Drosophila melanogaster: one gene and its partner. The protein of the gene in region 1 interacts with the protein of each later gene in a pairwise test. Each region holds a gene or a part of one and is shown on either strand. Other genes may lie near its edges. The genes, in order: ImpL1 and tmod.

Evidence for each region.
Region 2: the proteins of ImpL1 (region 1) and tmod interact in a two-hybrid assay, tested with the Drosophila melanogaster proteins (one large-scale study listed by BioGRID).

What each region holds. Positions count from the first base shown.
Region 1 is NT_037436.4:13,375,817-13,391,417, forward strand, and holds ImpL1 (Ecdysone-inducible gene L1), read left to right. Parts: upstream 1-6,953; 5' UTR 6,954-6,988; coding exon 6,989-8,089; 3' UTR 8,090-8,183; downstream 8,184-15,601. Other genes in the region: CG14111 (uncharacterized protein), read left to right, coding at 2,171-2,201, 3,456-3,799, 4,178-4,564; SNCF (SoxNeuro Co-Factor), read left to right, coding at 2,806-3,246; CG14107 (uncharacterized protein), read right to left, coding at 4,663-5,369, 5,433-5,460; CG14110 (uncharacterized protein), read left to right, coding at 8,995-9,058, 9,111-10,093; CG10171 (uncharacterized protein), read right to left, coding at 10,899-11,794, 11,850-11,958; Poc1 (proteome of centrioles 1), read right to left, coding at 12,634-12,762, 12,907-13,110, 13,178-14,056.
Region 2 is NT_033777.3:30,526,167-30,543,153, forward strand, and holds the start of tmod (tropomodulin), read left to right. Parts: upstream 1-6,670; 5' UTR 6,671-6,816; exon of another isoform or gene 6,817-6,929; 5' UTR 6,930-7,119; coding exon 7,120-7,341; intron 7,342-12,792; exon of another isoform or gene 12,793-13,253; coding exon of another isoform or gene 13,254-13,274; intron 13,275-16,987. Other genes in the region: jdp, read right to left, coding at 77-163.

The DNA of each region.
Region 1 (15,601 bases):
GTGCTAATATTGGACAATTTCCAGTGTACGACGTTAATGAGTGCCTTGCATGTGTAAATGCTTTTTATAAAAGTGTAAAACGAAATTCTTGAATTTCGAATCATATGTATTACAATCTGCTCATATATATATTCATATATCATAAATATTTAAACTCCACTCTACGTTTTCTTGATAGCCTCTTTTTTCGGCGTGTAGGAAGCGGCTCTAAAAGGTGGAGATGGTCGCAACTTCAACGCGTGGCTTCAACTCAATTATCAAACTTTTAGCTGCCAATCCGGGAACTCGCGGCAGGGACCACCTGCCAATGGATTCTGAATCTCCACACTCCGCGCAGACAGGCTGAAACAGACGTGTGGGTTCGAAACAAACGGAAATGGATTTTTGATTGAGTGCACAATAATATGTGAAATGCATTTTACAGACCGAAACAAGAGCAATACACAAAATGAAACAATACAACGCAGTGAGTGGAGTTTAGTCGTGTGTATTTTATTATATTTTTGCATGAACGAAAAAAATATATTCGCCCACCTCCAAAAAGAGAGCATTTTAATTTGGAGCGAAAAGTTGCAATTTATTTGCTAGTCCGTCCATCACGAAAGTCCATTTATTTCATTACAAAGTGCATAGGTTTTGGGGGATCCCCTTCTTTCGATTCTCACTCCGCAGGATATTATCCTCCGTCTGATGGCTACTTCGGCTATCCACTTTATGGCGTATATTTGGCCAATTTATTGGCTAGCCTCATGGCTAACAAATTGCAAACACAATGACGATGAAAAATTATTGCGTCGTTTATTCGATTGGGGACTATGAAAAAAGTTCGCCCCCCTCTGGCTTGACTTTTTCTGCATTTATAATTGGAAATTTATAAAGGACGGATCATAAAACAAGCTCAGCTGAGGGTTTAGTCATAAAAGCCGCAAAACAGTTAAGAATAATTACGCGATGCCCTTTTAGGTTATCAATTTGATGGAAATGTATTAAACATTTAATTTGCCTAAGTGGAAGGATAAATGCGATTGTTCTCAGAACTGTGGAAAGTGTAGGAATTTTAAAAATTGATTCTTTGATACATATGTGAGTTTAAACATAATTTTGTGAACTTCAGCCAAAAACTTATTGACAAAAATACAAAAAATATATTTGCCAAAAAAAATTGTTTATTCGCCCTGCTTAACCAAGAGTAAATTCATTCCCAAAGAAATCGTTGCCAATTTCGACCATTTCCCTATGGCCAAGTTTGTGTAGCCAACTTCTTGGGGCAATCGCCGCAGATCGATGTCTGGCACTGGCTGACTGAATCTCGGTCTAGACGTCGTCTAATGACAAACGCAAACCGCAAGAGATGAAGGACATTGAAGGAAACGTTATGCAAGGCAGCCGGAGCCAAGTCAAATGGAAATGCCATGGCTCCCCGTCTGGCAGCTAGATAAATAAACTGAACTTTAAATGGATGCAGTGACCCATCGATGACTTTTCAATGGTCTTGGCTAATTCCGGCTGACCACACTGAAAAGAAAAATCGCTATCTTACAATCATGTTCGAAAGAACAGTTCTGAAAAAAAAATTAAGCAAAAATGTATTTATTAAGAAACGAGTTGAATTGTACCATCATTATTACTATACCTTTGCTTTTAAATTTCTGATTTTCAATTCTATTTTTGGTAAATAATTTGGTATTATTATTTCTTTATACGCAAATCTATGACTTATTTTTCTTTGTGTAGAAAAGATGGAGCAGTAGAGAGATATGAGGACCCTTACAACTTCTGTTGGGCACTGAGGCGAAAGAATATCTCTCGAACCGAAAATCATAAAATGCATGCAAAATAAACCGAAAAAGTGGCGCATCATCATTATTTATTCGATATTCCCCCCTTCCACTACCTTGACCACCACCTTAGACAAGAGACTCAATCAATGACGACATCGGCTTTTAAATTTGTAGGGCCAAGAGATGGCGAAGCGAAATTTGCATAGAATACCAGAAAAGAGAAAAGTAGAGCCAGACTATTGAGAAATTAATATGCAAATTTCTGATAGTAGAACTTCGCATTGTTCCCATTCAAGTGAAATTTCTCAAACCAAAAACTTTGCCTTCTCAGCTATAAAATAGAAATCGCATGCCAAAAGTGGTTTCAGTATTATTATTAAGCACGAAACATGAAGACATCTTGGAGCTTTAGTTGCGGAGGTGCGTTCCATGCGAAAATTGTGGTATACGATGTGGGTTAGGTGTAAAGGATTTTTTGGTAACAGCTAGAAATGTGAATGTAACTTAGTGAAGTGAAAACAGATCCAAAGGCAGCTCTTGCCTTCAGGAAAACCAGGCGTTAGCAAGAAATTTCTAGGGGGACAGGGTCGTCTTCTTGCCAATTTCCATCGAATGTGCTTCTAGAACTATCCATGGTTTTGGAGAATTCCACGAAGGATATACGGGTATCCCCTGCTGAGTTTGACTGGAAAAATCGCCACAAAACCCCGAGGATCTGTGCGAACGGCGCTAAGTTGGCTGTCATAATTGAGGATTAAGCCGGGTGCGCGGATATCTTGCTAGTCATAAAGCCATAAACGAGACGGGGAAATTCCCGGCGACCCGGATCCCTTAGAAAACCCGAATGAAAAGCCTGTTAACAGTTTTTGGTTTACGGCATGCAAGCGCGTGACTGGCACCCGCTAATTACCTGGACCAAATATACCTGTGCGGAGGATCTACCTGCCCACCGGATCCTTTAAAAGGACCTCACCCCCTGGTCGGGGCATCATTCACTCCTGAGACTTACAACCCGCAACACACCATGATTGACCAGCACAAGCGCAGCCACAAATCAGAGAAATCCAGTCGCAAGTCGGGAAAGAAACATTCCGACAAACCACACAAGGTGAAGACCCACGATCCGCTCAAGAAACAAAAGAAGCGGGCTCTAAAGAAGCTCCGCCGCAAGTCCGCCACCGTGAATTTCCCGTACCAACTCTTCTTGTACCGCCAAGAACTAAGGCGGGCCAGCGCCGACTTTTCCTATCTCCGGCTGTCCAAGGCCAAGATAGTGCTTACCTCCCAACTAATCGCCAAGAAGATGGGCAGCTGCAATCCCGATTGCAGCGTGGACGAGCTTAAGGAACTCAGCCGCGAGGTGCAGTTCCAGAAACGCCTCTGCCATCAAGTGGAGCGCCTGCAGCAATTCCGGCAACTGGGACTCACCGAGATGATCCTCAACGGCAAGAAGACGACGCTGTAACCTGTGGAATTATAGAGGAAAAAGTCGGATTGAGCAGGCTGTTAGGCTGGGATGGGGCATTATTATAAGTTAGTCGCTAGTGTTTAGGTTGTAATATTTTATCAAATAAAATATCACATGGAAATTGCAAAACAAAATATTTTTTTTTCAACCGATGGGGAAATGTTCTTTGTGATAATGTTATTCATTTTAAATGTCTTGCCCTTTAGTTTTGCTCCTGTGTGGGATTATGTGCTCTGGCCAGAATGTAACGAAATCAAACAATAGCCAGGACATCATCACAGTGAAGGTCTTGCCGCAGTCAATATCTTCAGATCCTTCAACTGGTTCTTCCAGCTCAACCACCGCCACACCCACAGCCACAACTCCCAAACTAAAATCCAATCCTACAGCCAAGTCCGCCATACAGGCTCACGAAATCGAGGAGGAGGACGACGACTTCCACAACGATCGTCTTCCCGCCTTATCAGAGGATGAGTACAACAACCTGAGTGAGGACGCCAATCCGCTGCACTTCCTTAAGCAACAGCCCCTGGATCTTGAAAATGTGGAGGTGAGATTCCTTCACATTTTAGAAATCTATTTTTAAACAACTGTCAAATAATATAAACAATTGTAACTCAATCTATATATGAAAACGTAAATTTTTACGTCGTGTGATGAAAGTTATATATTTGTGAAAATTAATTTATTTAATTTCTCGCGCAGGTTCCGCCAAAACCTGAAAAAACAGATGCCCTTAAATTATATACTTTATTAGTATAAATATTTATAATATGATCACAATTTTGCATTGTAAAAAAAAAATTAACTAATTCAAATATTTCATATTTTCTCCATTTCTTACACATTTTTATTTCAATACCCATAATTTATGTTCCTATTTTTTACCGAAATCCAAAAATTGTATTCAAATTTCTTTATTTTTCAGCCGCAGCAGAAGCCTGAATCTCAAACCGAGAGTAAGCCAGATCCGCAAGTGATGGCTCCACAAACCGCCGGCTCACCCATCTACATAACCATTCCCATTTACATAAGCACGGGCGGTAAGCTGCCCATTAGTTTGACCATTGGAGATCAGGATTTGTCATTGAAAAAGGAAAGCGGATCTGGATCCAGCAAGAAGAATCACTCTACCAAATCACCGAACTCGTTCTTCAATCGCTTGCTGCAGCAGATTGAGTCTCCCAAGAGACGAACCACCAATCGCCATCGCAGCCAACTCAAGAGTCACGTATATGCGATGAAGGAGATGGACAACCAGGGGAACAAGGATGGCAAGAAACTCAAGATTTTGCTTCATAGCCCAATGCAATAAACATGTTCAAACACTGATTATGGCATACAATTTATAGTTGGCAATAAATAAATGACAATAAATAGCTGAGGAATGATGTGTTGATCCTAATTTCTAGACTAGACAGCATTGCTGACAGGAGCCGAAGTCGATGGGGCAGACTCCTCCATCTTCATGGGTTCCACTGCCAGAGTCTCCTTTTCGGAAACGACAGCAGGGACCTCAACTTCCGGGATCTTTTCCGCGTTCTCACCCTCGGGCTTCTTGTTATCCTCGATTGTGGTTTCCGTTTCGGGAATAACTGTAGATGGAGTTTCCTCTTCATCGTCGTCATCGCCGATTACCTCCTCGATGGCCTGTTGGATGAAGTGTTCGAACTGCTGGAAGTACTGCAGAGCATTGTTAGCCACCTGGGCGGTGGGCAGATCGGTGGTGACCTTCTTCAGGGCATCACGAATGAGCACGAGTACGGGTTTTCGTGTTGGAGCTGCTCCAGTGGTGGCATCCACCTTCTGATCCTCGTTGGGAATTTCGGTGGCTGCCTCCTCCGAAGGTTCCTCAGTGGTCTCCGCCTCACGACGTCTCCGGATCACCGAGTCATCTTCGTCGTCGTCCTCTTCATCATCATCGTCATCCTCGTTGGTCTCCTCCTCCACCTTTTGAGCCTCATCCTCCTCTTCGTCATCGTCTTTCTCCTCACTGCTATCAGCACTGGAGTTTACAACCTGCGGATCCTGTTTTGAGACGGCTAACTCCTCAGTGGCGTTGGCTTCCGTCTCCGCCAATGGGGCTGCACCAACAGAGCACGTCAGCACGAAAAGAGCGGCTGCAATCGGAAACAGACAGATTAGCTAAGATCCACAAAAACCTAGAGATTAGCTCAGCTCACCGAGGGCCAGGTAAATGGGTCTAACCATTGTGGTAATCCTTTGCTTCCAGTTGGCTTCGTAGTGGACTTTTGCAGTTTTGCGGTCTTTATGAGCAAATCCAGCACACTGCTTTCGCTTTTTATAGCCCCTCCAAAAATGAAAGTAAATGCGAGCAAACAAGGCGATCCCAAAACGCTCCGCTCTCTGCGAGATCTGAACCCGGTCTCTGGAGCCGACTATCAGAGCGTTGTCCAGTCGCTTTTACTGCACCGAAGCTCTCTATCTTGGGTTTCTTTCCTCCCACCTCGGCCCATCTCATTTGGTTTCTTTCTTTTCGTTGAACCTCTTTTGTTTACCCGGTGGCTTACAGAAACCCCAAAGAAACCGAAATCATTTATTTAAATTTTCGGTCTTTCTGTTTTCTGGTGACTTCTTTCATAAATCTGTAAATTTGACGTCTATGGTCGCTGTGGCTTCGATCTGTTTGTCTGAAAGATTAACGCCTTTTGGCAACCGTAACGCGGCAGTCTTCGGCTGATATGCAAAATTGCTTACAAGATCACTTAGTCCCCTTATTTCTTGGGATTCGGTCAAAGCACCAATTATGTAATTAGACACGTTTGGCGTCTCGGCATCGATTTGATCGCCCACAACTAATGCATCGCAGATCGGTTAACTTTCTAATGCTAATGGGAAATTTGAAAACTTTTCCATGGAACTACGTATATAAAATAAACAAGAAGTGATCACGAGCTGGATGAGTCATCAAACTGATGGTGGTAATAACAAATGCAATTATGAATGGTTGATTAACTGATCATAAGGAATACATGATCATTAGAGAGCGGTGATCATAAGTACACGAGAGAATGTATGTATGCTGCAAACTAATATATACTTTTCATATGTCAGTCTGACGGTCAGCGAAACAGATCACTGAGGCACATTTCAGTTGAGCCCGATCTAATTAAGATCACAATCGCCATCCATGGAGGTGATCAATTGCGCAGATCAAAGATCAACAGAGATCGGCGGAATAACAGAATGACAACGCTTGATTGGACGTGGATTTCCTGCGAGCGAGTGCAGCTGCCGGCGATCGCGGTCAGAAGAACCTCATAAAATAACAACCAGATCACCGAACCTTTCCAGATTGACCCAATTTCAGAGAACCGGCTCGAGAAGCGGCCGAGCTTGGGAGGCTGGGCGTCGAATGGAGGGCATCGAAGGTGTTAAAAAAACACACACACACACAACCAGTTCCAGATCCGAGACATTCTAGATGGCTATCGCTGGGAAGGGTACGACCACAGCCACATCAGTTTGCATAAAATTTCACCAAATATAATATAGTATGAGTACCAAAAAGTTGGCGTACTTTCGTTCGGACCTCGAGACATCGCGAAGTGTAAACAAATCTCGAGAAGATGTGGAACTCTTTGAAAGAGCTGCAGTGGGAAGAAAACCGGTAAGCCCCTAAAGAATTCCCCGCCGAGTGGCTAAGACTGGTACTTAAGCACCGCTCGCCAGAAGATGCGATCAGTTGTTGTGGAGTCGAGCAGCTGACCAGATCAACATGAGGCCATACCAAGTAGTTTGCATCGTAGGTAAGTCTCGCATATCGAAGCTGACCAGTTCTGGAAGTCCCATAATTAACTGGTATGCGCCCATTTCCTTTTTAGCAGTAGCAGCTCTGCTGCTTTTGGAGGCGATTCCCGCGGATGCAAAGCGGCGCAAGCACAAGGGCTCCGATCATCACTATGAAAAGTCTGATCCCCACAAGACCAAGACAAAGACCAAGTGGTCTAGCTCCACGGATTTGGCTGGAAACACTCCAATTTCCACCGAAGAGCACGGCTACTATGTAAAGCGCACCTTTGCGGCTCCCGGTGAGATTGGAGCCGCACAGAAGCGTCTAAGTCCCCCCTATTTGGCCATTCCCATCGCCTGGTTCAGCTGTGAGTCGGGCCAGAAGAATTGCCAGTCTTCCAATTCCGCGGCTATCAACAGTGCCGCGCAGTCCTTGAGCGAGGGCTATCTGTGCGACGATGATTGCGATGAACTGTACGAGCCCATCTGCGGCAGGACCACCTCAGAGGTGGCCGTTTTCTACAACAAGTGCAAGTTGGGTGTAGCCAAGTGCCGATCCCACGGTCTTTGGACGGACTTCGCCTATGCCGAGTGCCAGGCGAAATATCCGCAGGAAACTGCCTATGCCGACAAGAAGTTCCGGTCATCGCCTTATTTCCGGGATGCGGCCATCGTGGAGCAATTGAAGCTGGAGGAGGAGAAGCGTAAGCAGGAGGAGGAACAACACAAGCTGGAGAAGGAGCAAAAGAAGAAGGAGAAGGCTGAGAAAAATAAGAACGAGAAGGACAGCAGCGAAAGCAGCGAGGAGAAGGATGACCAAAAGGAAAACAAGCAGAAGGATCCCCTTTCCCTAATGCCACAGAAGAAAGTGGAATCCACCCAGAAGCCAGTGCCAGTTCCTATTCAAGTAGCAGTTCCAAAACCAGTTTCAGTTTTGGAGCCTGCAAAGACGACCGAGGACATCGCTATGCCGCCTATGCCACTGAAGGACACTCCCACGCCCAAACCTCTGGAGATCGCGCCCCTTCACCAGCAGACCCAACCCAAGGGCAAGGACATTGATAGGCTCAAGTACCAAGTAGCTTAGAAAGCAATGGCTACACAAATCTCACCTAATTATAGTATTTATTTAATTTATTACAACAAATAAAATTCTAAACAACGATAATCATCTATATTTGATAAACAAAATGGGTTTTTTTTAAATACACGCTTTGTAGTTTAAACGTGTATTGGACTACAATTTTTATGGCTAACTTTAATGGTAACCCGACTTTTATATTGTCATAAAAATAAAAATCATAAGATCTGCTTAGCACTTTTATGTAGATATTTTATATGGGATCGAAACGCACTTTTATTTTCCCAAAGTCAGTAAGAGTGTCTTCTTAGTTCTTATGACTCCAGACCAGTTACACTATTTTTCAGATCCCTTGAGCATTTAATTACTGAAATAGGTGCATTGTACATTTACATAGCTATATCTTTGGAAAGACATTAATCGGGATCCAACATTTCTGTGACAAACTAGTATAACTCGAAGCAGATTTAGTAGCAAGGGGAAAGGTGTGTGCAAAATTTGTAATGGGAATGAATACACCTATGATTCTTAACGAACTCATTCTTGATAATTCTTTATGGCCTCTAAAGAACTTTGTGTGTTAAAGTAACGGGTATAACAACTTCAACTTTACATATATATCTTTCAATCAGATAATTTTCAAAACTTTCTTAGAGGCAAATTCACCTCTTTGTAATTAAATTGAGAAGAATTCTAAGGCGATGCAGTTGCATTGAATCAAGTGCATTGACCCCCAAAACAAGTTCTATAAACTGATTGATATCTGAAGCTTGAAAGGGCCATCATCCATTGCCAGGCACTAAACCTAAAAACTAATTGGGCGTGGGATGGACAATGCAACAGGTTGCGGCTGGGTTGCCTATAAAAGCAGCGGGATTTGTGTCACTTGTCACAGAAGTTGACCAACTGCAATGGGAGCCACTAGTGTCGGAGTTCCAGTCTGGAAGATTCAGCTACTGATTCTGCTGAGTGCAGGTGAGAATATTCTAAAAGTTGTAGCTTGTGGTATTTAGTTTTCCTCTCCTAGTTGTTCTCACCATTCAAGCTGCTCCTGTCGAGGTAACCGAAGGAGTGACCCAACCCCCAGCCGAGAAGCTGCAAACGGAGTCTCGTTCCCGTAAAGATGAAGAGCTGGAACTAGAAGAAGACCTGGATGGACGTAATGCCTATATCAACAATCAGTTTGTGCCAAGCGAACCTGCAGAAGTCCTAGAGGATGTGCAGAATACGCCGCTCTACGAGATCCTTCAAAAGCAGATGGAACAAGTGTTGGCCTCATCGGCTCCCAATGACCCTGTCTACGAGCAGCACCGCGAGAAGCAGGATCGTCGCGATCAGAAACCACCACACCAGCCACCGTACTTCTCCGGCGGAGATCGAGATGGTGATCTACAGGATGACTACGAGGACGAGGAGGATCAGACGGATCAGGGTTATCCGTCGGACCCCGAGAAACCGGACGCCGTGTCAGATGCTCCCGAGGATGAGGACCCAGGCTACCAGGCACCTTCGTTGAGCCTTCCAACCACCACCACTCGCAAACCGTACAGACGACGCAGCACAACCACTTTTCAGCCACGAACCACCAGGACAAGAACCACTGCTCAGCCCAGGATCTCGGAAAGTCCATTGAACCAAACCAGCACCACAGAGCAATCACCAAATGTGACCACCAGCACTCCACGGCCCAAGATTGGTTCCAGCACCAAACCCAAGGCAAATCCTCAGCCGGGAAACAGCCTGCCAAGTGACCCGCAGGTTTACCAGCACAAGCGTCGCATCATCTTCAAGACCATCTCAACGGGCTCGCAATTCGTCAACTCGCCAATTGGCGACCTAATGATCAAGTTCTCAATCGGATTTGCCAAGCCAACCACTCCGGGTGGAGCTACCAGCACTGCGGGTTCACATAGTTCGTCCAGTGAGGCTTTACGTGCTCTTTCGCAAAACTTAATTCGAAATTTTGAACTTCAAAAACTAAGAAGAGCCAATAAAGTGCAAAAATATTAGATATACATTATTAACGAAAACAAAACCACGGGTTTTCAATTGGATTCATGTTTTAATGTACTAACAACAATGGATTCGAAGACTTTATGAGTAGTAGCTATATTTCGAACAAAAGATATTTTTAAAACCCTCAGTTGAAGAACTTAATTCTATTCTATTACCTCAAATTCAAAAATTTCGAATTGTGTTATAGAAATTTCATGAATATTTTAATCACCACAACAGCAATTGCTTGTGCAATAAGCAAAACATTCGATTTGGAGCGAGGTCTGCTAAAATTATTCCAGCGGGAACCAATCATTGATCTCCAAATTGTTGAAAACAACTTGAGATGACGCCATAAGAATATACATAACCAAATCAGAAAATGTATTCCGTCACGTACGAGAATTTCGAGACAATGACAATAGATCCACATGTACGGTTCGTGTTTAGTAGAGTTAATACACAAAATGGAGGTGAACAGTCACAGTAACAACAACGTCATAATCCGTAAAGGAACATGGTTAGCTACCTTAGAGTAAATATAATCTAACTGCCTTGGCTATTCGGTGCCCAATCGTTGTTTTCATCGAGTCTCATAGGTTGGTTAGTTCGCTAGGCGATATGTAAGCTTCATAAAAATATATCTATGGAGGGTATTTCACCGGCGTTATGAAATTATAAATGGTTAACAATTGTACATATATACCTGTCTAAAAGGCTTTATGAGGATGGGTTTATGTTTAACACGGAATTCAATCTTGTGAGGCAGCCTTTGACATTTTTAGCTATTGAATGCAGCTAATCCTAATCCAAAACAGCATTAGCGCACGGGCCAGAATCTCTGGGCCAGGAGAGGAATGGTGACGCCGGTGACGATGCTGGAAATCAGGTTGACACTATGGTTGTCCAGGATGCGCAGTCCGCTTACGTGGCGCACTCCCTTTCCAGGTGTATCCACAATCTTGCCTTCCTCATTGATGCCCGAGAACTGCAGCAGACCACCTAGGACAGAGTCCAAAAGGGACCCAAAAAGTCCAGCGATGCCACCGAAGGCGATGATTGGCCATTGTGGTGGGCTAATCAGAAGCATTTTGGCCTCAACCGTGTAACGAACGGTGACGAAATAGCCAAAGCCGACGAGCAGACCGCCGAGCAGACTCACCGCGACGCCGAGCAACGAAACCCCACCATTGGTACCGCGCGGCACTCTGCGCCAGGTGATGATAGAAACTGGATCGCGTTGCGACAGCACGGATCCTAGTTCACTGGACCAGGTGTCGCCATTGCAACAGGCAAACGCACTCATAACGGCCACACCCAGCCAGCTGGATCGGTATTCTCGTGCGAAGTCCACCGCCCGCTCGCCACTACCGCAGTCCAGCAGATAAAGCAATGCAAGCTGGGCGGCCATGCCTCCGTTGCAGAGTACCTGTATCCAGTTTCGTTGGCCTTCGCCCTCGCGAAAATCGCTCTCGAAACGGCGTTTCATGTGCGCGCGGAACTTGGTGGCCCGCGATGAGCTGAAGAAGAACACCACCAAGCTGGCGAAGAACGGATGGCTGGCGATGGAGAGAATGAAGGCCACCAGAATGCCCAGCGCAGCTCCAGATCGGTTGACGCTCCTCCGGCGCAGAGCCACAGTCATCAGGGCCAAGGGCGCCAGTGTGGAGAAGAGCCAGCGCACCGGCGGAATCACCCGGGACTCTGTCGGATAACCTTTTGGCATTAGTTGACCCCAGGTAACGTTCGCACTGGAATCCATATAGCTCACCCTCAAAGTCACTGCTCCAGAACTTGGACAGCGCCACATTGCCCAGCCACATGAACAGCGAGATCGGCACGGACAGTCCGCAGAAGAGCACTGGCATCCAGTCACGCATCTTGACGTTTTATGGGCGCTGTTTATCGCCACTTTCTCCGGCGGGTTTTGTTTATTTATATGAGCCAGTGATGCCGTTGACTAGTGTTTGAAAATACCAAATGTTAATGTGTCAAATGTATGGCAACCTGGCTTTTAGTTCAACGAAGACTCAACCCATTCCGTTTTTAAATGAAGATTCAATTTTAAATAAATTATTTTGAAAAATAATTTTGTTTCTATGTAAAAATTGTTTATTACTTTTATTCTTATATATATTATAAATTCGAGTGTGCTCTCAGTATTTAAAATCTTGTTTAGGCATTTAAATGAATTCAAAATATCCAAATAAAGTTAATTTGAACACGATTGTTATTAAATAAACATATTTAGAGAGTAAGATCTTTACCATTTTCTTTTTAGGGGTATGAGCCATCGGAACCCCTTTGAATATTTTATAAAAATAAATATATTTAAACGAAAAAGGGTATTTACAGCAATCATTTTAATTTTAAATTGCAAAATAAAATTCATAGTGATGGATCTAAAATTGTTCAATTGCTTTTTATAAAATGCGTCATACAGTGGAGCAGATATATTTAATAATTTCACAATTTAATTATCAAGGATCGCTATTAATTATGATTGGTACATTAATTTTAACTACGTTTAATTGTATTTTAGGGAGCTTAGAAGGCTATAAAGAGTATATGCCCTCCAATCGTCGCACACGCTCATCGATCGAGTCCAATAGTTTGCTGATCTCGTCCAGCCGCGCGGAACAGGAGCACAAGTCCGACCCAGATTCGATGGACACATCCAGTACCTGCGGAATGTTCGGCTGGTTATGTGCGGCAAAGGCTACTGAACGTGTTGGTTAAAAGAAGCGCGGACTGGAGCTATGCTGTTTGAAGTCCATGCCGTGACCGAGCACCTTCTCCGGCTGCGTCGAATGTTTACTGTCGAGCACCTGAAAGTTTTCTTCCGAGAGCTGATAGGCCAGCGATTGGCGCGGATCAATGCGGATACTAAGGTCATTGGACTTGGATGTCGAACTGCCTTCGCTCTGTTTGGAGGAAACGCCACTGCTTTCGCAACTGGAGGAAGCCAGCGCAGACTTGGCTTCAAACTGCGAAGCATCATAGGTGTGTAGGTTCGACTGCCAGACCAGGAGCTGCAAGCGAAACAGAAATCAAGGAGTAAAATTATCTTCATACCTTTATTAAGAAACAGAAACTCACCTGGCGATCACTGCCACCGGTAGCAAATTTGTCGCCATCGCGACTGAATGCCACCGCATTCACCGCATCAGTGTGGCCCGTCAAAGTGTAGATGGGTCTTCCCTCCAGCAGGTCTAGGATGCGGATGGTGCGGTCGTCACTTCCGGAGAGCAGGAAGTGTCCGCTGGGATGAAAGGCCACATCGTTGACCGGCGCCGAGTGCACCACGTAAAGCTGCAACAGCTGGCTGCCGGAAACGTCAAAGATTTTGATGCGGTTACAGCCGAGGGCGACGGCCAACATATTGCCCCACGGATGCCAGGCCAGTTGCCGTGGAGCGGCTCGTTCCTCGGTGAAGGTGCGCACGCACTCGCCGCTGTCCACATCGTAGATCCTCACCGACTTGTCATCGCTGGCGGTGGCCACCAGTTTGCCATTGGGACTGAACTTGGCGCTGCGCACCCAGTTGTTTTGCTGTGCAAACGAAGACACAAACTGCCGCCTGGCAACGCGCCATATCTTCGCCGACTTGTCATCGGAGGCGGTGAGCATCAAGTGACCGGTGGAGTCGAAGTCTACGCTGCGCACCGCCTTGCTGTGGGCCACAAACTCCCCGGAAACGCCACGCAACTTGGGCTCCCAGATCTTTACGGTGCGATCGTGTCCGGCGGAGGCCACCAGGTTGCCCTTTGGCGACCAGGCCACACCGTTCACCGGCGCCGAGTGCGACGCAAAGCGAATGCAGCGGGCCGCCTGGTTGAGATTCCACAGGATCACCGTTGAGTCCGTGGACGAGGTGGCGATCTGGGCGCCATCGGGACCAAAGCGCAGCTGTGTGATGCCGCCCGAGTGGCCAGTGAAGTGGCGCTCCAGTGCCGGATCCCTGAACAGTCCTTGCATCTTGTCTTTAATTTAGACTTGTGATGGGAATTTTTGACAAATCAGTATTGCTTTGACGCTGAAGTTTAAATGAGAAAATTGCGTCGTCGATTTTTGGACGCGTTATTTGAAATGATCGGTTATCGGAATTTGAATCGCGTAGGCCCAGTGTAACCGTATTTCGATTACTGAGATATACCAAGTTGCCCGATAAATATACTGAATGACAGATGTTAAAGCGCCATCTATTGATGAAGATATACTTCATTACAGAGTAAGTTAACAGCGCCCTGACATTAAATTGGCGCCAAAGTTTTTGCATTTAAATAAACATTTATTAGAAATTATTAGAATTTATTTTAAGACTTCAAACTTCGTTTTAAAATATTAAATTTTTTAAAAGTGTTTCTAGGAATAGATGGTTTGGCTTACTATTTAAATAATCTTAAGATATGGCTTGATTTAAGCAGACTAAATCTTTAAAACTTTTAAACTAAACTTTAAAACTTTTTTCAAGCATCTATTTTTGTATTTCTATATGTACTTTATTTCTATGCATATTTCTAATGCATAGAAACCATAGAAAAATAATGTATGTCTTGATTTTTGCGCATGTCTGGTTGTTATACTATAACATAATCAAACCAAAAATCATGTATAAATCTATGTTGTCATTTTCAAACAGTGATTTCTGCAACAGGTTGCTGATGGGAACTCATCACTTCTAGGCGATCCTCGAACATATGTCTCCTGTGGGGAACAGCAGATGTATTAGACCTGAGTGGTCCCTACCTGTGCTGTCATTATCCTTTCTCCTGACCGTCGAACTCTGGGCTAGTTCATTCAACTTCAACCTGCTGCCGTTCAGTAAACTTCTCTAATGATCCTCCGCTGGGTTTTGGCCAAGTTCAATGGCTCCTTTCTGCAGCTACTGCTGCTGCTGCTATCTCTATCGGCTAATTATGCGTTCGCCAGCATGTCGGGCAATGGACCCCGGTACAGGTCTAAAAACTGACATCAAATTAAACAACGAAATGTGACAGGAGTGCAACTGTGAAAGTGCAACGGCCAAAGGAGCGGACTACAAACGAAACCACCGACCCAATCGAGAACTGCGAACTGGGCTCGAACTTTGAGAAATTAGTGTGACAAGCACACGATTTCCACCTGTAGCATGCTACTCGTAACTCGTAACTGTTCTTTGCCAAAATGCAGTTAGGACCGATACACATGTTGCAACCCCTGGCCATGTTTTTATTCCCGCAGATCGCATAGACAAAAGGTCGTTGTCGTGTGTCCCTTCCCTGAGGGGAGCCACTCCACTCCAGTCCACTCCACTCCAATCCACTCCAATCGAACTCTGGCGAGGGTTCAACAAACTGCTTTTTATCAACAAACTGTTGCACTTTCAAATAAACTAAGCTAATGTGCCAGGGGGGAAAAGTCGCCAGAACCTCAAGACCAGCCAAAATCCTTGGCCAAATAATGAAGAAGGTGCCGGTATCTTTAGGTTCGAATGTATACTCTTCTCCAGATGATATTGGTTTATTTTTCATAAGTTCATAA
Region 2 (16,987 bases), on another chromosome or scaffold:
GCAGTTGACTGAAGTTGGGTGGTCAGATACATAGATATAAAAAGTGGTGGCACGATTGGATTGGATGGCAACTTACCGATGAGTTCTCATCGCAATGGAGCAGACCGTAGAAGTCCTCGTTGGGACTGCGCTTGTAATTGATTATAGCATCAACGGCGCTCATTGCGTCAGTTATTCCTGGGATCGGTCGGGAATTTATATATGTTTTTCTGTATCGGAAGGAAGTGGCCCAAGTTCAGGGACAGCAATTAATGAAATGATATTTTAAAGAAGATACAAAGTTTGTTACTTAAACTTTACTTTCACCAGTCCACAAAGAATTTCGGGATTACTAATTCACTTTTGGTTAGCCTATTTGCACTTATCATTGGTTATATTTTCCGGAAGACTAACAAATACTGGTAACTGAGATTTTTAGGCTGAATCAAAAGGCAAACGAAGGCGATTTCGTGACCTTCGATTTGGAACAATTAGCAGCTAAAAATAAGTTAATCACAAATGCACAAAAACGAAATCGCCAAGTAATCAGCTGAATGATCTGGTTTTGTTTTGGTTTTTGGTTTGGGTTTTTCGTTTGTTTTGCCTCGGTTGGTGGAAGCACTTTCACTTGTTGTTTTTCTAGAGCTTCAACTTTTAGTAAACGGTGGGAAAAACGTTGTTTATTTATTGCAGCCCGCTCAAAATCAAATGCGCTAAACACCAACTTGACTGGCACTAGAACACTCTCAGTTTTTGTGTTGTTTTTTTTTTTAAGTAACTCGGACTCCCACTCTCTGGGAATCAGCATATATAATATATATACTTCTTGGATATATACTTTGGGATAAGCGGCGCTCACGATGTTTCTGGCAGCGCGTCGAAAGTCGAACTGATGGTTCGCCACATCACGAAACTCGCTTCGCTCGTTTTCCACTTCGGATTGGATTGGTGGAGCTTGGAGACGGGAGAAAGTTCTCTCTGGAAAGCTCCACAGCCTCCCAATCCCAGAGTGAGCTGAGCTTTTTGAGCTTTGTAAGCGGGGTTTTGAAAATACGTGTTTCTTAGAACCGCGGGGGAATCCCACAATGTGCTTTAGGGTTTACCTGTTGGCAGCGATGACTCACTATCTTTGGTACTGCGGAATCCCCTCAAGTAAGAGAAAACCAATAATCCAAGATGTTGTATCTAAAATATTTAAACTGAATACAGGAATAATGTATTAAAAGGGCTATATTGACTTTAGGCGGTGATATTTACCGTTTTCTTTCGTTCGTTCAGTTTACATTCTCTTAAAATTGAAAATTGCACTTAAAGCACTAAAGCTGTGATGGCTGTTGGTTGCTGTCCTCACAAAAGCATCCCGGCTAAAAGCCTATTGAAAAGCTTTTCAAATAGAGCTTCTGCTATAAAAAAAAACAATCGTACCATAACTTAGCAATCCTTGACCACTTGTTGATCCAACGGGCTGAGCAAAAGAAGACCATCTTCCCACTGCAGAAGAAAGTTTGTTGAATTTGTTAAAGGGAAATTAATGTTCCACCCAAAAAAGAAAACTCATCAATCTGCGGCCAGCTGCTCGACAAAACTTTTTCCCCAAATGAAGTCAAATCGAACTTCGGACGAATGCGAATCCGAACTGAAAATAACCGAACCAGAGCAGCAGAGCATTGGTTTTCAAATTAAAAGAGCCAGCCGAGTGTGAAGCGAAAGTTTGCAGCAAACGGAAACGAAATTGAAAACTGTTGCATACTTCGGGGCGGAGTAGGACCTCAAAAAGGAGGCCTAGACCTAGCACCATCCCCTGGACCACACAGAAAAGCCGCACTGGGCGAAAAATGATTTCCGTTCATAAATCATCATAATGGCGAAGCAGGACCCGGCACATGTATGTCTGGCCAGAAAAACAGGACCAGAACCAAATGAAGATGAAACCATTTGACCAGCCCACAACGGTGGGTTTTCCCGAGGGCCGAGTGGGGCAAGGCCTGCGGAAAAGTGCGCCCGTGCGCGTTTGTCCGTCACGCACACAGAGAAGAAGAGGCAACGCAACCAGCAAATCGATTGGGACAAAGTTGTCGACTGAAAGATGTTCAGTAACTGCAATATTGAATATTTACCTTTAAAGTATATTGTTATTGTTATATTGTTTCTTAATATTAATATCACACACCTAATTCTTATAATAAACATTTTGATAATCAGATTAAAGCTATTTTATTTCAGAAACAGTATACAATTTTAAGTTTATGGAGGCCTTTCGTTCCTGACAGTCAATATACCCTACTATCTCAGTGCCAACGTATGCTCACACACACACACGTGTTCTGTGCGTGTGACGTCAACAAATGGAGCTGGAACGAAATGAAACGTTTTAATTAGACAAAAGAGCAAGGCAACTATTTATTTCCATTTCTGCTTCGACTGTTCACTGTCCACAGCCCGCAGCTAGCTGCAGATACAGTTCCGACTACTGGCACAGATACAAATGCGGAATACTTAGCAAATATTCCAGTCCAACCCACTCTTTTAGCTTGCGGCATGCAGTTGATGATAAACCTTCTTGGCCAGAATAGTTGCAGCTCGCCCCCAGTACCACTCTTTTGAGAGAAGCCACTCTAAGCTTTTTTTCAACTGGAAGAAATGATATCGATATCTAAGGCTATATCCAAGTAAATACAAATTTTTATGCAGGCCTAGATCTATATGCTAAAAACCAAAGCAAATGTTATAGAATTTGAACATAGCTGTCAAGATATAAGCCATCTAATGTTTGGTTTTTTACAGTGTTCTTTTGCGGTGAGTGTTGAGACCCACTTGGATTCCGATAAGCGAACATTTTCCGCAGCATGCTTGCCAGGGCAAACATTGGCAATGGCCAAAGAATTGCTGGGAAATTGCTCATTCGCCGGGTGTGCGGGGCCAGAGATTCTTCGCCATTGCAGATTTATGCATGCCAGTAGTAGTAGTAGAAGTAGTTGGAGTAGTTGGCTACCAGATTAGAGACATTCCATTGCTTCCAGCCAAGCTGCACCTAAAAGTATGCTGTGCGAATCCCTACTGTTTGCAGTTTCCGCTTTAGTTTCCCCTGAATTGCATTCCCAACCCAGCCCATTACCAATCCATATCCAACTATCCGGGTGTTTGTCTTTTTCTACACTTTCCGGCTGCTGCTGCTAACTGCATTTCGCTTCAGTTAAAAGGAAAATCGCAAGTCAAACAAGTCGAGTGCTGGCGAATCTGAACCTTACATCGGTCGATTGCCAGCTGCTGTTCCCCGATTTCCCGCAATTTCCCAACCAGCCCTCCAACAGCTCAATTAATGGACGGCAGGCAATGAAAATTCTCCAGAAGTTGACAGAAATCGTTTTTGGGCCTTCCGCTTCTGCATGTCGAGACTGAAACTTTCTTCATTTCCCAGAATCATCTACACATGAATCTTGGCAAGGCATTTCCCTTGGTTTTATTTTCCCTCTAGGTCAGCGAGAGTCAACGACACTTGGCAAGCGGGCCGCATTCAAAGAAAACTCGTGATATAGGGAGGGAAAAGCTCGGAATGGGAGGAGTACACAAAGAAAAATATATTCAAAATCGGCAATCAATTTAATACAGCAAACTGCAGACTTGAATTTGCGCTGTGCTATTTGAAATTTATATTTTACAGTTCCAGAGAACCTATGACTCTCATATAATCTAATAACATTTTGAGATATTCCTTTTCTCTTTGTGCTAAAAACAGGCAACGTTAGCTTGTTGGATTATAATAAAAAGCACTTCATTTACTTTGTGCAATTTACAACTGTGAAATAAACAGGGAAACGCCAAGGCCAAGGAGCTCTGAAAAGTGGCTGGGAAAAGGCAATGTGGAGAGGTTCCTGTATATATGGCCGGAAAAAAAGGAAGTGCGGTCACGCCTCGGCTGCACATGTCACCCCTTTGTATCTTGTATCTTTCTGTATGTCTTTGCCGTCACCGCTTTGTTTTATTACCAGTTTGCCTCCATTCAGAGCAGTTCATCTCCATCCAGTTTGTTTTTCCTCGCCTCTGCTTGCCCTATAATTTATTTATGCATGTATTTTATTAAAGATTTCCATGGCGTCGTTCCGTTCTCATTCTCGTTGTCGTTATCGCCGCTGTCGTCATAGCAGGCCATCCCCAGTCACTTGTTGACAAAGAAATTACTTATTAATCATATTTGAGCGCTGATTTCTCGTCGCCAAAGGATCACGAGCAGCTGTGATGGGGAGCACATGTGCGTGCATCCACAGAGGGCTCCAAAAATATAGCACTTAAAACATATTCGAATAAAATGCATTAAAAGTGTGTTATAGCAAGTAAGTTAAGTATAACATAAACCGCATCTCAAAATGAAATCATACAGATATATCATTGCATATGACTGATTAATCATTATCCTTATTTACCTTAAAACCCATCCTATTTGCCTAACCCCCGCTGTTCGTGTGTGGGTGTCTGAGTGGCTTTTGATGTGTGTTATCTCATGTTATCCTTTGGCTTCCTCTGCCGTGGCTTGTCTGTCATCAGTGTGGTTTTCCACATCCAAACACACAGATGCAGAACAGGACCGTCGAGAGGGGAATACGAAGGAGTTTGCTGCTCTATTTCGTGGCTCTATTCATTACCCAGCGCCCGCAACTCCGCCCTGCCCCTGATCCCATGCCACATAATTGCATTTGCTCATCAGAGACACATCCATTGGATGTATCTATATTCAGGCATTTGTCCCGCATCATGTCGCTGCGTTTGCCGAGCTGAAAAGACATTTTCGAGAATTAATTTTAGAATATTCCGTCTTGCGTGTGCTTGGCGCTTTGTTTACACAGCGCTGCGGGGAAAACCGGGGGTCCGTTCGAAACACTTGTCTTTCATATATCTTGTGCAGTCCGCGATGCGATACAGGAAGTCCGCACATCGCTGTCAAAACTAAAGCCCCCAAATGCCAGCAATTGAAAGCGTTCGCTAATCAAAAATCTAAATCGGAATCAGCACAAAATCAGAAATCGGACAGAAGGCAGAAGGTGAAATCACTTGAGATGGGCATCTTCCGACAGATGCCCCTGCCACAAGGCACCCTGTACAGGCCCCGCTGGCTGTGATGCACTGCCTCCACTCGCACATCGAACGCTGGCCACGGCAAAGGAAAAAGGGAAAAAAACGAACGGAAAATAAAGGAAAAAAAAAGAAAAGCGCATGAAAAAGGAAAAGACGGCGTCAAATGCCGCCCGGCCAAATGGCCAGCCGGATCAGCCCAATGTATTCCACCCGATTCAGAGTTGTTTGCCCACAGAGGGTATCGATGAGATGTCTGGGCTTATTGGAAAAAAAATGTTGGAAAAAGGGAAATGCAACACGGGCTTATGGGGATAGTAAGTCCCTCTGATAGAGTGGACAAATTGGTTTGTAAATTAATTTTAAAATCTATCTAAATTCAAGTTTATAAGATATTTTTACTTCTTGAATAAACATTCTATAATTCTTATTGTAAAACTCTATTCTTACTATCAAAATCTCTTTTTTAGGTATTCCAAAGTCGGAAGATATCACTATCTTCATCCTTGGCTGCCTCTTTTTTCTGTCTATTGTTAAATCCACCCAAAATAGCTCCACGCACATTGACGAGAAGAGTGCGTGGGTCTTTGACGGGGAGTATGGAGAGTAGGGGGTATGCGGAGTAAGGGGAGTACAGACCATATGAGATGGCGAATGAGGAGTGTTGGCACTTCACGGCGGAGTTTCACATTCTGACGGGCCTCAGACGTCCGGCAGCCGCACTAATTGCATTCGCCTGGTCAAACGAAGAAATTGCAACAGGCGGACAATTAGCGAGCGAACTCATTCGCATTCAAATTTCACATTTGCTCAAAGAAAGAACAGAAATACTGCACTCAGAAAAATGGTTAACTCACTTCTTACTTCATTGCAGATATTTTGATATTTTATAGAACTCTGGAGTTCAATTTCGGAAGGATTAGGATACATGTGGGATCACAGCCTTGTACTTTTACTTTTTAACATACGAAATATTGTCAGATAGTTTCCTCTTTTTACCAAATAAAGCTTTCTAAATGTAAATCCAATTTGGTAGGATTTTCTCTCAGTGTAGAGGCACACAGTGTAGAAAAGATCGGAACGAAGGCAACAAAAAACTTTTGAAACGCGACGAAGATCAACGTTCAAAATTGAGCAGACGTCAGCAGCGGCAGCAGATCGGCAGAGAACTGAGAGTGAGAGTGGAGGAGAGAGTGTGGAGAATTGCTGGCGCTCTCCCGAGCGCTGGGGGTCTCGGGCCGTCCCGCTCGCACCTGCGGCTAACACATTGGGGGCCTCTGCCCCACTAGACCCTCCGGAACTCAGACCGTCTCGCTCTGCTCTCCGGCGTCGGTTCCGGTGGCAGACGGCAGAAGATTCTAACTAGAAGAATTAGAAGAAGCTAGGACGGAGGCAGCAAGTAGAAGACCCGTGATCGTGTAATTCGCCTCGTGTGCGTTCCGTTGTTCCGTAATTATTCCGGATTTGTTTTCGAAACAGGCTGAAGTGATGTGATGGGATTTCGATAGCTCCATCTTTCAACTTGTTTCGCTTTATCCGCCTTTTGTCACCACGGCTCTACGTTATTCCGTTGTCCCATTGTTCCGTTCTTCCGTAGTCCCATTGTTCCGTAATTCTCCGTTCTCCGTTGTTGTCGCGCCTTTCGTGGCCGCTGGTCGACGTTACGTTTTTACAGTTCGATAATCGAGCACTTCCCGAGAGGATCGAAGGCTCCAGGCATCTGCGTAAACCACGAAGGATCTACAGTACCTCTAAATATACCGCCCTTAGGTCGAAAACAAGTTACTAAAAAACCAGCGCGCCGTGAAATTCCTCTTGTTTATATAATAACCAGCGGCTGCCAAAAGCCCAGCGGAATATACAAAAAATATTCATTTTTCTAGCTCTGGTCGTTTGTATTTTTCAGGCTAAAAGAAAGAAAATAAGAAAGAAGAAAACCCAAGCAATTCTGCGTGTTATGTGTTATCGTTGTGATCAGTGATCCAGTGATCAAGTGAAAGTGAACACAAGAACGTGAGAGAAAGCCAAGTGAATCAGCTCGACTCCAATCGAAAAGGATATAAATCAGAGACAATGTCGGACATTGAGGATGTTTTCGGTGGCTCCGCCGAGGAGACCAAGCCCGAACCCGATGCCCAGAGCAAAACCAGCGTGGTCACCGAGCACACCGAGGAGGTGATTCCCGGCGAGACCGAGAAAATGGTAACGGAGACCATCGATGAGGATGGCGATGTCGTGGAGGAAACCACCGAAGTTACCCGCAAAACGGTGAAGCGCACCATGAAGATCACTGAGGTGAGTGAACTCTGACCCATGGATCCATCTAATAGCCGCCATTATCCATTAACTAACTTATTGTGCGTGTGCTGAGTACAAACATAATTCGAATAGCCATGAAAATCAATATGTATTCTGAATTTGAAAACCGTTCAAGAAGCTATAAAAATTCGGGAACTTGGGAAATTCTTAATGGAAACTATTTCCAAAAGCTTTAATGTTAAGTGCATATTCGCAATCAACTTAAAGAACAGTTCGTTAAAATTTATTAAGCATGGAAATTTTTATAAAAATATTTTCGATTCAAGTATTGTTTACCAAGCTTTTGGTGGGGGGATATATGCCGCAAAACAACATCTTGTTTTTGCATTGAATTTATATAAAAACATCGCATATTTTTGCGAAAGTAAATGACATTCCATTTTACATATTTCCGAAAATATTCTTACGGAACTACAAGTTTAAACCAAAGAATCCGCCCAAAACTGAATGATTTCCTCAATAGTTGGCCACCCCCGATCGTTTGGCTTATGAAAGACTATAAATCATTATTCTCATATTCTGAAGGGATCTTCTGCCGTACTGGTCTCCTCGCTTGTGAAATTGGCCAAAACATGGCGAACTCTGGCTATACATTATTTATACCAAGTGCCATTTCTCTATGTGCGTCTTAGCGAATTGTTTATACGGTCCCACGAATATTATAAATCTTCCCATACATTATACATCACACACACCGCGGCACAGATATAGACGGACATATAGGCGATTATATACACATATACATATGTATGTATATGTTCGGCCACACTTTCTATAGGCGACGTTGCCGGGGGAAAGCCAACAAAAAATACAAATTTTGCAGCTGTTTGATTTCGGCGCAAATTATCACAAAAGATTTCAAATGGCATGGCGTATAAAAAAAGCTGGGAATTAAATTATTATTAAGCAGAAATCACTTAAATACTCGATGCCGAGCTATGCCAAAAAATCCCCACACTCGAAGAGAAATGGCAAAAAAATTAAATGCAATAAATTCTGTGCCGCCAACAAATGCAGAGGCAAAAAAACAAGTATCAGACCAAAAAAAAAAAAAAACAAAAAAAACATCGAGAAGAAGGCGAAACAAAAAATAAATATTGAGGTTTCCGTGTCTTGCGGTCTGGCGCGCACTGGGCGAAAGTTGGGTGGTGCCGCATGGGGCGGGTGGTGCAAGTGGTGGGGCAGCAATTAATTGCCACAAATCGTTGCACAAAATTACAAATTGCATTTCCGGCTTGGCGCGGCGGCCACGCACTTCCACCCGTATTCCCCACTACCGCTACCCCACCCCAAACCCCGCAGAAAGTCTTCGATTTTCCCGCCGCTGTTTTACGACTGTCTGGCCCCCCTCGCCCCTCGCCGGGCGAAAAGCAAAACACCGCCCGTTTTTCTTTCGTCGAGTTTTATGGCAGCCAAATTAAATTTGCATTGCAATTTACTTCTTTTTGGGTCGGCCTCTCGGCCTTTTCTCGTTTTTCCGTTTTGCCGTTTTTATGGGCCCGAAATGGAAATGAAAACGCATGAGCTCAGCCAGCCGGAGTCCTGCGAATGGGGCAGGGATAAGGATGTGCTGCTGCCAGGGCATATGTTGCCATATACACAAAACAGGATCGTATGTGCCTCGCTCCGAGCAGCTTGCCGAACTAATTGCGCTGCCAAAGTCCGGTTTCCTTGCCGAAGCTCATGAACTGCTGAACTGCTGAACTGCCCAAGCCAGCTTTCCCCGCTCACTTTCTCCCGGCGGCATTTCCTGGGCGAAAGCGGCTAATGAGTCACGTACCGTTTTTGTCATTTTTATGCGCTTAACAGGTCAAAGTTCCAGCCGCAGGGATACGTGACCAAAGTCGAGTTTGAGTTGAAAATGCAAAATTAGTTAAATAAAGTCGGAGATACGCCGGGCACTTTCTCCACTCCCCATCCCCACTGCCTTTCGTTATCCTTAATTCGAGGCGAAGCGGAAAACTGTCATAAATTTCACAGTTGATTTCACCGTTGTTTCCTGATTTGATTAGCTCATTAAACGACGGTAATTTGTGCGGTGCGGGGTATGGTTCAAGCCTCTGTGTATTTGCTTATAAACTAAACAATAAATATTAAAGAGAATGACTAAATTGAATAAAATATTCATAGAATATTCATGATTGATTAGTTTCAACAAAATCGAACTCTCAATCTATTGTCACTGAAAATTCAACATCAAATACGCCCAATTTGCGATTATTAAATTATCTGATTATGCGCCATTTAATGCAAACATTATGGAAATGCACCACTATTTAATAAACACCCAAACGAGCGACTTTGCGGTCGGAAAGTTCGGCCATATTATTCCTGCCGACTGGAATGTAGTTAAGCAAATCTTTGCTCAGCTCCGCCGTTCCAATCAAATGGGGCATGCTAATTTGTGCAACAAGCCGTAAACTCACATAACCGGACACCACATCCATATTACACATGAGCCCCATGCGGAGATTGCTGGGATAATGGAATTTCCTGTGGCCTCCAACGTCCATTGTCCTGCTGTCCCGTCCAGTATTCTCTTGATTAGACATCATAATATTGAACGGAGATTAATTGGAATCCGTGAGGGGCCAGCTCAGCTCCGAACGGATTTATTGTAGTTGGTGATGTTTTCGGGGAAAACCATTCAGAGTTTTCCGCCCGATTAGCCTGGCCACGGATATTCCGCTGGTTGTCGTGGACCACAGCGATTTTCCCGATGATTTTATTGCGCTAGCTGGCATATTAAATTGTTTTGAATTTTGCCAGCGAACTCCGCAAATGCGGCCAACCACAGCGCTAATCAGCGCAGGGACAGCTGTCTCTGCACCACCCACTATCCCGTCGCCTGGACCACCGACCGCACCGCCCACCGCACCACCAGCCACTCCCACAGATCCCTGCGCCCTTCACCCCCTTTTCATTGACAGCTGTCAACGCGGTGGCGCCTCTTGAAGTCCAAACATATATTTCACTGGCAGCCACTGAAACGTGTGTTGTGTGTGTGTGACTACACTGAGATATTTTTTGATTTTAGGGTTTAAAACTTGTATTATTCGTTACTAATATATATACCATATACCGGATAGGTTTTTTACCCGAGTTGTTTAGTTTGAAAAGATCGAGAGTTATGGATGTTACCACAAATAGTGGTACTAAAAAAGGGCCACTCCCCAACGATTTCTCGCAGTGCATGGCAAAGTGTGTATTGGTTTGGTTGAAAGGCGTGACACAACAAGACGACATTTCAATGTCAGGCGTCTCTTGGCCTTTGACGCTCGCTTAGCTTCCATTCACTTGTTGCAGTTCCCAAGGAGATTTTCCCAGGTCCCACCTCCACTCCCTCGGAAAAGAGAGGAGAAGCCCACACCCACCTCCAAATTTCGAGTACATTTGGTCAGTTATTTATGCGCTTCGCTTTCATTTCGGTTCGCTTCGCCTCGTTCGCGGTTCTGTGTTTTATTTATTTGTGCCTTGGCTGTTCAAACAATTTATAATTTTAATGCACACACTGGCCCCGCCACTGAGCACTGAACACTGAATACAATCGAAATATGTTTATATAATTGAAAAGCAAACGTTTTGCGTGAAAACATAAGGCGAATATGTGCGGCGTATATGCTACAGCATTCATGCTGGGGTATATAAATAAAGCTGCCAAATTGTGTACACGGGGCGTATGATGAACGTGCCATTTATTTTGCCGAGCGGTTTGCCTTCTCTCTCGCTCCGCTCGCGCTGTCTCACTCTGGCGAAAATCCGCCTTATGACTGGCATATATTTCATTTAATTTTCAAACACTTTGCCCTTCTATTTATTTATCCAGATCAAATCGAAAACCGCTCCTTCGAATCCAATTCTTTGACCTGCCGCAACGGAAATTTGCCCATTGCTCAGCGTCTTGAAATCCCCTGGATTTCGGATTTGGATTTTGCAGAGCGTTACATCTCCGCCAGAACAACAAACAAATAATTTCATTGCCTGCCATAGGCTTCCGCCAACTTTGGCCGGATATTCTATTGAGAATTTATTTCAATTACATTGGGGCGCGCCGCAAAAATCTCGACAAATAAAATTCATTTACAAAATGTTTTGCGTAGTTTTCTCGGCTCTGAGCTCCGAGACAGAAGGGAAAAAAGGGGGTCGAAAGAAGGTTGTAGAAGAGCTCTGTCTATTTGCAATTGGATGAGGAAATTGTGCAGATTTTCCTGAGCTCTTCTAGAGTTTCCAAAGCCCGAAATGCAAATGAAAATAAGCCAATTAGTTGGAAATTGGCCGAACTTAAGGGATCACTTTGATTAAACAGAAGCAACGGCCTCAGGTTATTAGCATTTCGCTAAAATTAATACAGTAACAGTACGAACGCAATTGGCAAATTAGTTCAGCTGAACAAACGTTTGTCTAACCCAATTCAACAATAAATTACCAACAGCCCGACGACTGCAAACTGACATTTGCTTGTTTACACAGAATCATCTTGCGTTTTCTATTTTCCATTTTCCATTTTCTATTTTCCACTTTCCCCCTTTCAAACGCACGCAGATAAATAATCCCCATAAATTACTATTTCCACTTGATGATGACCAAACGAGCCACTGACCCCTAAAATCCGCTCCATAATTCCATATGCCGAAAATTGACATTTGGCCATGTTCTCAATTGACTTGTTTTTCAATGGTGCAGTGCAGAAAATCTATTCATTCGGTCTATCCATTTGTGACTATCCCGCCCTTAGGCTCAATTTCTACATTTCAGGTGGTTTATACAAATATGAAACAGTTTTGGAATTCACGATTATCAGGGGTACTTACCCATTTTGAATAAATATTTGCATTGTTCAATGCGCTTGAATGAAATGGGGAAAATTCAATATGTAATTAGACATATTGTTAATTCTTCAAAGGATTTTCTGAGAACTCACCCACCCATCGGCATTAAGTTCAACTTTTTAAATTAATTCAGCTCTCGCATTTGTTTTTCCATCGTGAACCATATTTTTCGTGCTGCAAATTAACGAATGTAATTACTGCAGTCTGGCTGCAATTTGCGGTTAATGCGCCCATTAATATTGAAACGAAAAGCGGCACCGGCTTTAATTGCGGCCAAGTGGCCATAAGTTCGAGTTAAGAGGCCTCCTGCAGAATCGGCCACTTGGCCCTGACAATGGATGCCATTTCCATTTCCGCTCGTCGGAAAAATGAGGAGGAATTTACGTGAATGTGAAAGGCGCGCGAGGAATATTAGCGAGAATGCCAGGAATTTGTCAACGGCGAGAAATCGAAAGTTAACCCCACTCTGGTCTATGTAAATATATATATATATATAGAGCAGTATTATAGTATCGAAACAGCAGATACTCGACGTCAATTGGCACTTTGATTGCATTTCGATGCAGTTTCCGACTTGAATTTGCGCTTGCATTCGGTTAGTTGCATCGCAAAAGCCACAAAACAAAGCAGCGCGCATCGCGAGCCAATCGAACCAACCGAAACTATTGATTTATATAGATCTAGCCCAGCCAGAATGGAATGGATTGGAATGGTTTAGATTGACCAGTCTAGCAGTCAATCAGCCAAATAAATAGATTAGTTTCGTATCCCTCCCCCGATTTTCGTGACGTGCGATCTTCTGGACATCCGCGTGTGTGTGTGCGTGTGTGCCAGTGAGATCCAAAATCTATATATACCATATATAGCTTCCCATTCAGCGCAACACTGAGATATTTCAATTGAATTTCTGCGCAATAGCCAAGATTGCCCCACACAAGATAATTTCTGTTTTGGCAAAAGCGGATTAGACCCCCAGTTACCCCCCTTCGGTTCCCCCCACCGCCGGGGCATCAATAGAAAACCACCCAATAGAAGCCATCAGCAAGCCAAGCAGTCATCATGGCCATCACAGACGATGCGGTAAGTCGATCCCCGGGGGGCACAAAAACGGAACTCGAGAGGTCCATTGTTGCCAGGGATTTATTTGAATGTGCTCGTCCATGCAGTTTTCATTAGAAATTTGAGGCTCCGAAGGTGCACCTATTGTTGTTGATGTCCGTTCGGTGTTCAATTGAAATTAGGGACCAAAACCAAGGACATACTATAGAACTAAAGCTTGAATGATGAATTTAAACATGTTGGTTTTAAAGACTTAACCCCTTGGAAAACCTATTATGTATAAATATACTCGCATTTCAGTCCTCCTTTTTACCACTGCTGTTTCTGTTATGAATCACTTTTTAATAGGCCACCTCTTCAATCACTCCCACCCGATTTGGTTAGAGGACGAGTTAATCTCATAAATTACCTTTTCAGTTACTCAGCTTCACAGCTTCACCGCTCGTGTCCTTAAAGTTTTCCCACTCAATCATTCGATCAAATTGTGTGCCACACTTTCAATGGTCAGTTGGCCAGTCTCCGCCACTCAACAAATTAAAACCGCTCGGGGGTGAGAAAATCCATCGACTTAGCTAACTGTGCCGCACGAACAATGCCCCCAAACAATTTCCTCCAACAAATTTTCCATTTTCCAAAAAACAACCTAGCGAGCGGCTGAAAACTTTTCCCTTGCCTTGCTGTTCTTGCTGCTGTATGTTTTCTTTCCTGCGCTTGCCACTTAGGTGCGAAAATCACTTGTCAATCTTTTATGTAAAGAAGTCGCCGTCGTCGGTGCTTTTGTCACCTGCACCGCCCTGCGCCACCTGCCACGCCCCTCCGCTCATCGTCGCCTCTCGTTTCGGTTGCTTGGCTCGTAAAATTTTGTCGTCTGCTTCCGTTTTCTTCGCACTTAATTGTGTCTGATCTGCACTGCAAGAAACACTTTTGAATTGAAAAATAGTGTTCAAGTCTAACTACAAAGCAGATCATCTGAAAGAGAAAGAGAGTGAAATATACCTTAAGTTCAATTACTAACTCTTAAGCATGCTACTCTAGCCAAGCCCAAGTTTTTTTTTTTCAGTGTAACTTTGGCAGGCGTTGTGCGTGCGGCGTTGTATCGTGTTGTTCGTGGCGTTGTTGTGGTTCAAGGTGATTCGACATCGACAACGACGCTTCGACGCATCTTTCAATCAGATATCCTCCGATTTTTCCCGCCCCCTTTTTCCGCACCGCCCGACCCCGGGGGGCAACCCGTTGGGTTTCCCACTGCCAAGGACTCCGCTTCGGTCGCCCGCTTTTCTGGCTGCCTTTTTCCTCTTTTGCTTGCCTTGGCTTTGGTCTGTTTATTTTGGCTGCGGGTTGTTTTCTGCCATCGTATTTTTCACTTAATAAAATTGTTTTCATTCGGTTCGACCGATGCCTTAACTTAACCGCTTCTTCTTGCCTTTTCAATATGTTTAAAAATAAACGACGACTGCCGCCCCCTTTCCCGCTCGGAGTTTTCCTTTATTACTTGTACGCTTAGCTGCTATCGACACACTTCTTTATCTGCCGTCGGCCATTGTTGCCTCAACCGCCCCCTGCCCCGCCCCTTTGGCCCATCATCTTGATGTTTGTGCTTTGTGTTGGCTTATTAGCAATTTGGCTAAGCAGTTTGCGGTCTCCTTCGCAGAGGATCGCTTAGGCAGCTCGGAAAAACGCTGGAAGAAATATTCAAAAATATATAAAAGCGGTGAAAAAATTCCTTTTTAAATTAATATTAAATATTATGAACAGTATATTACTATTATTTATTTTTTTATTGTTTTCATTTTAGCAGATTTTAATATGAATATTTTTTCCTTCATACTTCATACTTGCTGATGACGTGACTTGCAAATATTTATATCTAACCTTGCAGTTTCTGTGCAGTTTTTCCGACTTTTCCTCGAATAGCTTTTGTTTTCTTGTTTATCCCTGCTACTCGGCTCTAATCAAGAAATGTATATATATTTACTCTCAAGCTAATGCACATTGTCTTAATCAAAATTTTTACCTGCAATTTTACCTCCAGCTTTATTCTTATTTAATCAGAGCGCCCCATGAGCGATTGAGATTTTGAGGTGTTAATTTGATGAGTGCTCCCCAATGACTTTGGGTGTTTTGTGTGGTGTTTGGGGCTGAATGCATTAGATTGATTAAATTCAGACTACGGTCACTGCAGTTCCCACGCACTGACCAGATTTTCACACACAACGACCAACTTCCCGCCCACGGCCACCCACAGCTGCAGCTGTCATGAATATTTTCCCACCCGCAACACCCAGTCCCCAATCCCCAGCCCCAGCGCGTTGGATGGTTTGAACATTTCGGAAAATCATTTCCCAGCGCCATTTCCCCATTGTCTTGTTCAGCATGCAGCGTTCGCGCAATCAATCAAAACGCGCCATGCAAATGGGGAAAAGAATAGGAAACAGACACATGAACCTGTTTATAAGCAATAAAACGAAGATTTTATGCTCTTGTTTAGTGCAGAAGAAAGTATTTCATTAAAGGAAAACTGGTTGCCAAAGATAAAAACGATTAGCCTCGGGCATAGTTTTACAATTTTTTATTGAAATTGTACTTTCTGAATTGTGGTTATACATTTAATTTATCATTTTGTTTATGCATGCTTTTTGCTTGGTCCCATATTACACAAAATCTGAATTGCCATGTTTCAGTAATGGATTTAATTACGCATGTTAATAACTTGCTACTTTTGGTTCAAGAGCGCTGATTTATTTTATTTAATTTTCTCTTCACAACGCGAAGCAAATTAATTTCATTCCAATGAATAATTAACTTATTGTTAACTCTATTATTTATGATGCCGTGATAATTTCGGTTATTCTGGTCACTTATCAAAACGCTGATCCTGAAAGTATGCAATGAAAAGGCTGCTCTTCAGTTATTAATATCCAAAAGGGAGTGCAACTTTTACGTATGCCAGGGAATTTTCTTGCCCGTCTCCTCGGTTTCCCTTTCTATTTTCCCAGCCTGACACCCCAATCTTCTCCAGATTCTCCAGACTCCAAGCAGAACCAGCAGAACAAACAAAGCAAAGTCAGCGAATACTGCGGATATGCAAAGGAATCGAGTGAAATGGCGAGCAAGCAAAGCAGAAGGCAAACAAACACCCACATATGTGCATGTTCTACAAACAGAGATGGCTGACAGCTGAAAATGCTCGCAATCTATCACAACATACAAAATATGTTCCAAAAGATTTTCAATTTATTTTCACTAAAACGATTTTCCCCGCTTGCTCGTTTTCCCCGCCGCTGGTCGAATGCATTCGGCGATATTGTCGATGGTTTTGCAATAGAGGGAACCGAGAAAACACAAAGAGCCAGTGAACAGAAAATCAATGAATAGAAATAAAATTGAAATGCGCGACCAACTGCAAGTCCGAGCGAAGTTGATCGCCACATGTGCCTCTCTAATTAGTTGTCTGCCCCCAAAAAATAGCTTGGGGAGGTGGAAAGCCCAGCAGAGAAAAGGAAAAACTGATCCCGGAAGTGGGCGACGACATTTAAACGCTGCGACATGTGAACAACTGCAATTTGATTGCTAAATCGGCTCGCCTCAGCTATTCTGGGCCACACTTCTCGAAAACACACAGCTTCGATTCTGGGAGCGCTCAACGGGGCGTATGATTGATATTCGACACACGACAGCTTTCGAAACGTTCTTCGAAAGAGAGCGTTTACTACTTGGAACATTTGTAACAATTA